2 linked regions of the Cricetulus griseus genome follow. The protein of the gene in region 2 binds, or shares a complex with, the protein of the main gene of each other region. Links are inferred from orthologs where the notes say so. Each region holds a gene or a part of one and is shown on either strand. Other genes may lie near its edges.

The links.
Region 1: Chchd3 (region 2) and Apoo share a complex: the UniProt entries of both Homo sapiens proteins name them as parts of the mitochondrial contact site and cristae organizing system (MICOS) complex. The link is inferred for Cricetulus griseus from reciprocal best matches to the Homo sapiens genes CHCHD3 and APOO.

The regions. Positions count from the first base shown.
Region 1 is NC_048604.1:75,617,720-75,622,132, forward strand, and holds the start of Apoo (MICOS complex subunit MIC26), read right to left. Parts: upstream 3,090-4,413; 5' UTR 3,051-3,089; coding exon 2,907-3,050; intron 1-2,906. UniProt on the Homo sapiens protein: Component of the MICOS complex, a large protein complex of the mitochondrial inner membrane that plays crucial roles in the maintenance of crista junctions, inner membrane architecture, and formation of contact sites to the outer membrane.
Region 2 is NW_023276806.1:194,963,587-194,967,401, forward strand, and holds part of Chchd3 (MICOS complex subunit MIC19), read left to right. Parts: intron 1-2,258; coding exon 2,259-2,376; intron 2,377-3,815. UniProt on the Homo sapiens protein: Component of the MICOS complex, a large protein complex of the mitochondrial inner membrane that plays crucial roles in the maintenance of crista junctions, inner membrane architecture, and formation of contact sites to the outer membrane.

The sequences.
Region 1 (4,413 bases), on a different chromosome or scaffold from region 2:
TGCACATTACAATTTGAGGGACTGTGGCTCTCAATTGCTAATACCTGGTATCACAATAAAATTATTCATTCACTGACACATATGGTTTCGTATGTGTTTTATATGGTTTTTACACTTTGTATAATACCAGAGGAGAAAAGTAAACACCAACCCAGCTACAAACCCTGTGATTTACAATGGTGACCTGCCTGCAAGATATGCAGTTGCAATAGTGGCACAAAAGTTGTGGGTGTAAAAAAAAAGTTGTGGGTGTAACCAACCAACATCACAGATGATTCCTCCTACAACAGATGAGAACACACGAACGTGCGTTCAGCTTGATGGGCGAGAGGGTGGCCCCCTTTCCAGTCATACCCCATTTCCCAGGACAAATGGCTCTCCGCACCAGTCCCTGGTCCAGCTCCCAGCAGGGATGGGGAGCCGGCTATCTGGGACCAACCGAGGCTCCTTTGGCGCTGCCATATCATTCCAGCAGTCAGGATTCTGACTTAGAAGCGGTCAGTCATAATCCCACAGATGGTAGCTTTGCCCCATTGGCTCCTCAGCCAAGCACATACACCATAAAATGGGACAATATTCAGAGAGTGACAGACCTTGGAACACTCAGTCTTAAATGGGACATCTCCCTCAAATCCCTCCCCTCAGGGCTCAGGGAACCCTGTGGAAGAGGAGGAGGAAATATTGTTACAGCCAAAGAGGACAAAGGACACCAAGGAAACAAGGCTTTCTAAACACAGCATAACGGACACACATATGAACTCACAGAGACTGTAGCATCTTGCACAGGGCCTGCATGGGTCTGTACCAGATGGGGGCCCAGCACTGAGAGAAGTGGACCCAGGTTCCATTCCCAGAACCCAAAGGACATCTGACAACCATCTGTAACTCCAGTTCCAAGGGATTATATGCCCTCTTCTGGCCTCTGTGGACACCAGACATACATGCAGGCAAAACACTAATACACAGAAGAATTAAAACTAAAAAAAAATGTTCAGCCGGGCGTTGGTGGCGCATGCCTTTAATCCCAGCACTCGGGAGGCAGAGGTAGGCAGATCTCTGTAAGTTCGAGACCAGCCTGGTCTACAAGAGCTAGTTCCAGGACAGCCTTCAAAGCCACAGAGAAACCCTGTCCCGGAAAAAAAAGAAAATGTTTAACACATCTAAAGACACAAAGAACCCCCCTGCAATTTCCAAAACATACCCAAAGGGGTGGTATCAGTCAGTTGAGAACCACTGTTCTACAATCACATCCTTTTCCTTCTCTCTTTCTCCCCCCCCCCCCCGTTAAAAAAAAAACTTGTCTGAGTCATCAATCTGTGCTAATCTTTCATTTCTATCAATAAACTTACATGTATGAAGATTGTGAAAGATTTTTCAAAGAGTCCAAGTCAATGAACATGTTCACAGACTTATATGAATATACCTGACATGAGCATTGCTGGTTGCAGATTCAGTTTCCATTATACCTCTTCCTTCCTAAAGAACCCCACTGTGCTCATGAAACCATTCCTTTTCCATATGGTAAGCAAAGTGAATCTGTTTGACTGAAGCTAATCAGAGCCCAATATTCCCCTGATAACTGCTATTGGGCTAGGAACAGACACCTGACCCACGTTGGTTCAATCAGACCTGAAGGAAAAACATAATCCAAGCATGGGAGTTTTATCCTCTCCTCTTCTCCTAGTGAATGGCAAAGTAATGTTACTGCCACTCATCTTGTAACTGTAAGGAAAACCAACAATACCATAGTAAACCCAGAAGAGCCAGGTCTTTGATGACAATGAGCCAACAAATCAATGAGTTCAGTGTCCATCCTTCCTCTGGGTTTAGTGAGATAATTCTCCTCAGTATTTTACAATTGAGATTTTTGTTACCCTAATTTCACCAATAGAAAAAAAGTCACAGAGCAGTTAAGTGACATGCCCATTATCACATAGCTAGAAACCGGCAGCAATGGAAGGCAGAAACCATGATCTGATTTGGCAGCCGTTATTAATGCACCCCAAACACTGCAGCTGCAGGAAACTCTTAAATGGGTAGCAGAATTTTGAGATTTTATTAGCACTATTCTGTAAATATTATGTTTCTTGGAGAGTTGATTTTATAGATTTCTGGATGCGTGTGGGGTTTTGGGGGGTTTGTTTTGTTTTGTTTTGGAAAGGGTCTCTTTATGTAGGCCTGGAAATCGCTATGTAAACCAGGCTGGCCCGAACTCACCTGCCTCCACCTCCTAAGTGCTGGGGTTAAAGGCATGTGCAGCCTGTAATTTTTTGAATGACAAAATATAACTGACTTTTAAGAAAGAATAACTTTGGCCGGGCGTTGGTGGCGCATGCCTTTAATCCCAGCACTCGGGAGGCAGAGGCAGGCGGATCTCTGTGAGTTCGAGAACCAGCCTGGTCTACAAGAGCTAGTTCCAGGACAACCTCCAAAGCCACAGAGAAACCCTGTCTCGAAAAAAAAAATAAAAAAAGAAAGAATAACTTTATGATAAAATTTAGGTTTTTCGAAGTCTTCACTGTAAATGTCTATCTTACGGAGGACAGGAGTTCAAATGAAAAAACCCGTAAGGGAGGGGATAAGGATAAGAGTCGACTTTTCCACACTAACGCTCACCAGAGAGGAAGTTCCAGCTTTCCTCAAAGCAGCCTCTCCCTCACCAACCTCCCCGACATCCTCCGAAGCTGACCCTCCCCCCACCCACAAGTGCGGTTCGGAAACCTGATCCTGCCAAGCAACCAAAGCCACGAACGCTGCAGTGCCGGGACCTGGCCTCATCCTACCTACTACCCCAAAAGGGCATTAGCCGAGGAAATGGGTACTATAGCTGCGTCTTAAGTTTTCAAAGTGTTTCATTCCCCTGAGAACTACTCGAGGGCCGATCCCACCCATCTAGGGTTCCATGCCTCAGTCTCACAGGTGCTGGTACCAAGCAGTGAATGAATCGCTGTGACAGGACTTAGCCAGCCCGGAGGTGGGCAAAGCCTTGGGGACACCCGAGTCTGATCCTCAAAGAAGGCCCACGGGAGTGTGGGAAGGGACCCCGGCATCTGAGAGGGGGCGATGACAACTGTGACCCGGCTCCAAGCTCTCACCTTGAACATGTCGCTGGCAGCCGTGGCTCCGGCAGGGTCACCCCTCCCTTGGCCCCGCCCACTGAGAAAAGCGACTACGGTGGCCGGCTTAGATCCTAATTCCCTTGACCGCGAGCAGGTTGTGGTGCACGAGATGGTGATGCTCCCCCGCCCAACTCAACCCGCCAAAAGCTCAAGGCAACCGCTAGGTGGCGCATTGCGTTGCTTAGCAACGGAGAGGGGCCCGCGCGCGGGAGCCTGATGAACCCAAGCCCCGCCTTCTTGTTGGCCCTGTTTCCTCGCCGGCTGTTGCTAGGCGGCAAAAGGCGGCAGCTCCGTGTGGGCGGCAAGTTGTGGTAAGAAGGGGGAGGCTCCTTGGCACCCTGCTGCGCGGAGAACCGGCTTCGCCTCCACCACTGGGCGCCTAGCTGTGCGGATGGGAATCCTGTAAGCCGAGGTAGCCAGGCGGTGGCGCCCGACGGTCCTGGGGTGGCCGCACCAGCCTCTTAGGGAGAAGCCGCGATCGATCGTGGGGCTTCGGTTTACCTCACAAAAGGTTTTTTCCTTAAAGAATTTACCGTATGCTGAATGTTGCTTAAATTTTATGTAATAGTAAATGCACCGCGTCATTTAGTCGCGAAAACTGTCCTTTTTTTTAAGAAAAGTACTAAAGCGTAAATCTGAGAATCAAATATTTGTCCCATTTATTAATTGTAGAAGTAAAATGACAGTATTTAACTATTCGCCAGAAAAAAAGCAAGCTTTAACACTGGTTTAAATGCGTAATTTTATTGCTCCGACACAAGTGGATGGGCATGGTTCTCATTGCCTAGTGTCCAAAACTGCGGAAAATCTAAAGCTAGGATCCAATTCAAGGTAGTCTGCCTTTGAAATCTCTGCGCTAGCTTGGGCAAACGCTAGCGCGTCCCGTAGAGACGGTGTATTTCGTATTTCGTCCTGTATTTCTTGTCCTAATTCAACAGAAGATGGAAGCCACATAGGCATCCTGAAGATCTGGAGATTTGTTCGGTAAAAGGTCACTGTCCTCTTATCCTAGAAACACACCTGTCCTTAAATTAGGTGTGTGGGGTTTTTTTAGTTTGCTGCGAGAAAAAGCAACAAAAATGCCCATCTAGGGCAAACTGGAGCATTTCAGTAAAAAAATGTTAAGTTTGTCATAGTATTTAACCTTTGGCTTAGTGACTTGTGGTTAAGGTTTTTTCTTTTTAAGCAGAACTTGTAGGTGTTAGCAACCTTCAGGGAAGGGAAAACGGTAAGGTTCAGCCAGACCAACTCCCAAATGTTAAGGGCAGCTCTTTCCTTCTCAACAGAACTGTAC
Region 2 (3,815 bases):
CAGTGGTACATGATCCTCTGAGTTAAACCACGTATATCTCTACTTGTAATTAAACTTAAGGTATATATGACTAAATTCAACTAGAAAAATACTCATGATTAAAATATTTTAAAACTGGCTATACCAACAGAATGGTAAAATGTAATTCTATAGATTCGTGGTCCATGTCCATGAATCTGTATCATTTTTGAATATAAATGAACATGCATGTATGTCTGCGCATCTGAAATGCCTGCTATGTAGCAGGTGATCCCTAAGTGATAACAGTGCTGTTACTTTATTTCAGTTTTCACTCACCATGTAAAATCGGCAACTTTTTAAAAATGTGTAGCAATATTCCCATTAAAGTGCTTTAAATGCATAGTTTTGCAATCTGGTTGGATAACCTTAGCCGTTATCAGTGTTCTCATGTGGACCACTCCATTTTTATGTTGCTTCCCTTTGATATCTCTCCGGGATGTATTTAAGTATCGAGCTGTGGCTTTCCAACTCCAGCATGCATCAGAATCACCTGGGGGTGGCACATTAAAAGGCATTTTGCTGGTTCCTCTTCTGTGGGTTCCTGATGCCTAGATGTGAGGTGCTGCTAGGAATCTGCACTCCTGCAGCCCCCCAGCTGCACCTGCTGCTGTGTGGACCCACCCTGAGCACCTGGTCCAGGAGGCAGTGTGGCTGATGCCATGTTGTATGGTTTTTATGAAATATTTTTAGAGACCCTTGCTTTGCCTACATGCCATTGTACTTATGGCTTAGAAAGTCTCTTAGGTTTCTTCATGGAATGAGTGTATTTCTGTTGTTCTTTCTTCAAGAACGACTAACTATACATGTTTACCCTCTAGGGGGAAGGCATAAGTTTGGAATGTATTTTACAGGATAATTTTATGTTTTATAATTTACTTCTAAGAACTCCATGCTATCAGGAAGGTGTGAGGGTTTAAAACACTAACAAGAATTTTATGTTCTCTACTTCTTTTCAAGGGTCTTTTTGATAGACTAGCACCAAGTAAAATTTAGCACTCATCATTCACACTCAGACAACTTCACTCAGAATGTCACCAACATAACAGTTTCACCTCCTTTTAAAGCATAGCTTACATCTTTGGAGATATGATGGTCTAGAAGGGTTATTCTTTCAAAAGAGAAAAGGCAATCAGAAATCTTTGTCCATGAGATTACACTGAAATGTTCTTTCATTTAGTGCTTCTGAGTGCTTGTCTGTGCAAGGTATTATGGCAAAAGCCAGTGCCAAAGTCATTTGTCTTTATCACATACGAGGGGATTTTAGTAGATTGTAACTTAATATGGACCTAATTGTGTGACAAAGCTATGGATCACCTTAATGCAATTGTAGGCTTCATTAACAGGATTAGTAGTATGCGCATCTGGGCACTGCTGCTGCTATCTTGTTTCACTAGACCCAGTTTGGAGTGTAAGCTGTTAACTGGCATTGAGGGAGGTGGAGCCTGCCATTAAGTCTGTGCTATATTTGCATATCCTGATTGTAGGAAGGTGGTGTGATGCACTGGGTGGAGAGACTTGTATGTGTTGGTAGTTAGCCTCTATAGGGTTAAGAAACCAGGGAATCTCAACACCTTGTCCACTACAGTGTCCTCTGTGCTTAACATGGGGCCTAACTCACTCATATTCAGTAAATAAGTGGGTCAAAAACATGGCTGGATGATTGTGTGCATGTGCCCGTGTGCACGGAGAGTAGAGATCTAACTCAGCTGTGGTTCTCAGGAGCACTGTCTACCTTGGTATTTGACTGTCCTCTTCCTGGGACCTAGGACTCACTGGTGGGCTAGGCTGGCCAGCCAGCGGGCTCCAGGATTCCAAGTGTGGGATTCCTGGAGAGGATGCTTGGGTCCTCTTGCCGTGTTCCAAGCTCTTTACTTACTGAGGTCTGCTGGAGGTCCCAGGGATGGGACTTTTTGGTGAGAAGTTTTCAGTTTTACCTGAGGACTTTGTTAAACTTGGACACTTTGTCAGCTGAATCAGTAACTTCTCATTTTGGAATTCTGTTGTTTTAAATGTGTGGGTCGAGGCTGTGTATGGTTTTTGGTAGACTATGGGCCAAGATGATTTCAGCTTTTGAATAATGACTGTATGTTTCTTTATATTTTCAGTTATTTAATTTAACATAAAGTAATGTCAACCAACAAAGTAATTTTCTAACTTGATTATGAAATAATCTAAAATAATTATAGTACTTAAAATAATTAAAATTAAAATATTATTACCTTTACTTATCTTTTCAGCCTTAAGCAAGCCAGGGACCTAGAACGAGAGAGGGCTGCAGCCAATGAGCAGCTCACCAGAGCTATCCTTCGGGAAAGGATATCCAGTGAGGAGGAGCGCTCCAAGGCAAAGCATCTGGTAAGTGCCCCCCTCCCCCCCCCTTTAACGCTAGCCTTGCCCTCCAGGACAGCCATGAGGTCAGCAAAGCAAAGCACTTAGTGCCACCTGTTAGTGTTGGTAACAGTAACATTTCCTTGGTCAGGCAGGACTTTGAGTTGCATGTATTACAGGTGGCTGCTAGAAGACTGGCCTCCAGGATGTTAAGGGAGGTAACTAAAGAAGTGTTGAAGTCAGGACCAACACACAGTCACATGCCCAGGTTCCACCTGGGGAGATGCTGCTTGTTTGTTTTCCACCCATGGCTCTGTTGTCTCCATAGCACTGGGGCCAGCAGCCTGGCCTCTTTCTTTTCCTGGGCAGCCTCCAGATGCCCAACTGAGCAACTTCCAGAATATCAGTCACTCTCTAGACCTTAGAAAGGGGGAAAGTCAGCAAGGGTCTTGGAGAATGAACTTTTAAAAGAGAACCAGAAGTTTCTTCAGTAAAATACTTTTTAATTTTAAAGACTGAATATGTATTTTTTTTCTGAATAAGTACTTTAAAATAAAAGATTAACAAAGTTTGAAAGTCACTATATCTTTTTCTGGCATGATCATGGTTCACACAGGGGTGTGTTTCACTCTGTAATGTTTTTCCGCAAGATCTCTTATTTATCATTTAGAGTTTGCATAAATGCTATATGTATGTAAATATATCTGTAGATCACAGAACATTTTTCTGAAATGTAGTTTCTCATGATGCATAGTATCTTCTGTATCCCTACCACTTATTAAGCAGATTTTCCACTGTCAGATAAAACTGGAGCTTTTCTGGTTCAAGCCTCTAGCCTGGACTGCTCAGTCTCTACTTCCTCCTAGAAATGCAGATGAAACACTGAGGGCCCTTGGTACTCACTGGAACACATAGAGAAGCGAGCCAGTGAGGCTGAACACAAGGCCTTACATGGAGGATTTGAATGTCACAATTCTTACCGAGCAAGTATCTGCTCTCTTCCTAGTGTCTGTCTGACTGTCTGTCTGTCTGTCTGTCTGTCTGTCTGTCTGTCTGTCTGTTTCTGCTTTGCCGTTTGCCCACACAATTGTTAATGTTAGGATGATTGGCATTTTGTTCTTTCACTTTCTTTTTAAATGACTGACGTTCCTACTTATCCACGGTGATGGGGTACAGGGTGATAAATTAGTCCATGTATACAGTGTGTCTGATCAAATTAGCAGAGTAGCATTTGGTCCTTGAGTCATTTTGGATTTTTTTGTGTGTGCAAAGCTTAGAATTCTCTTCTAGTTCTGTATGAATAAGTAAATTGCTAATAATTGCTAAGTTTTTTCCTCATTTTACCTCTTAGCCCTTTCTTTGGTAAGTGAACCCATGACCAGGTGCAAATAGAAGCATGAAAAGGGAAGTCAGTTTATAAATCCATTTCTTAGTGACCAGTCTGAGGTCCAGGCTGCTAGGAGAGG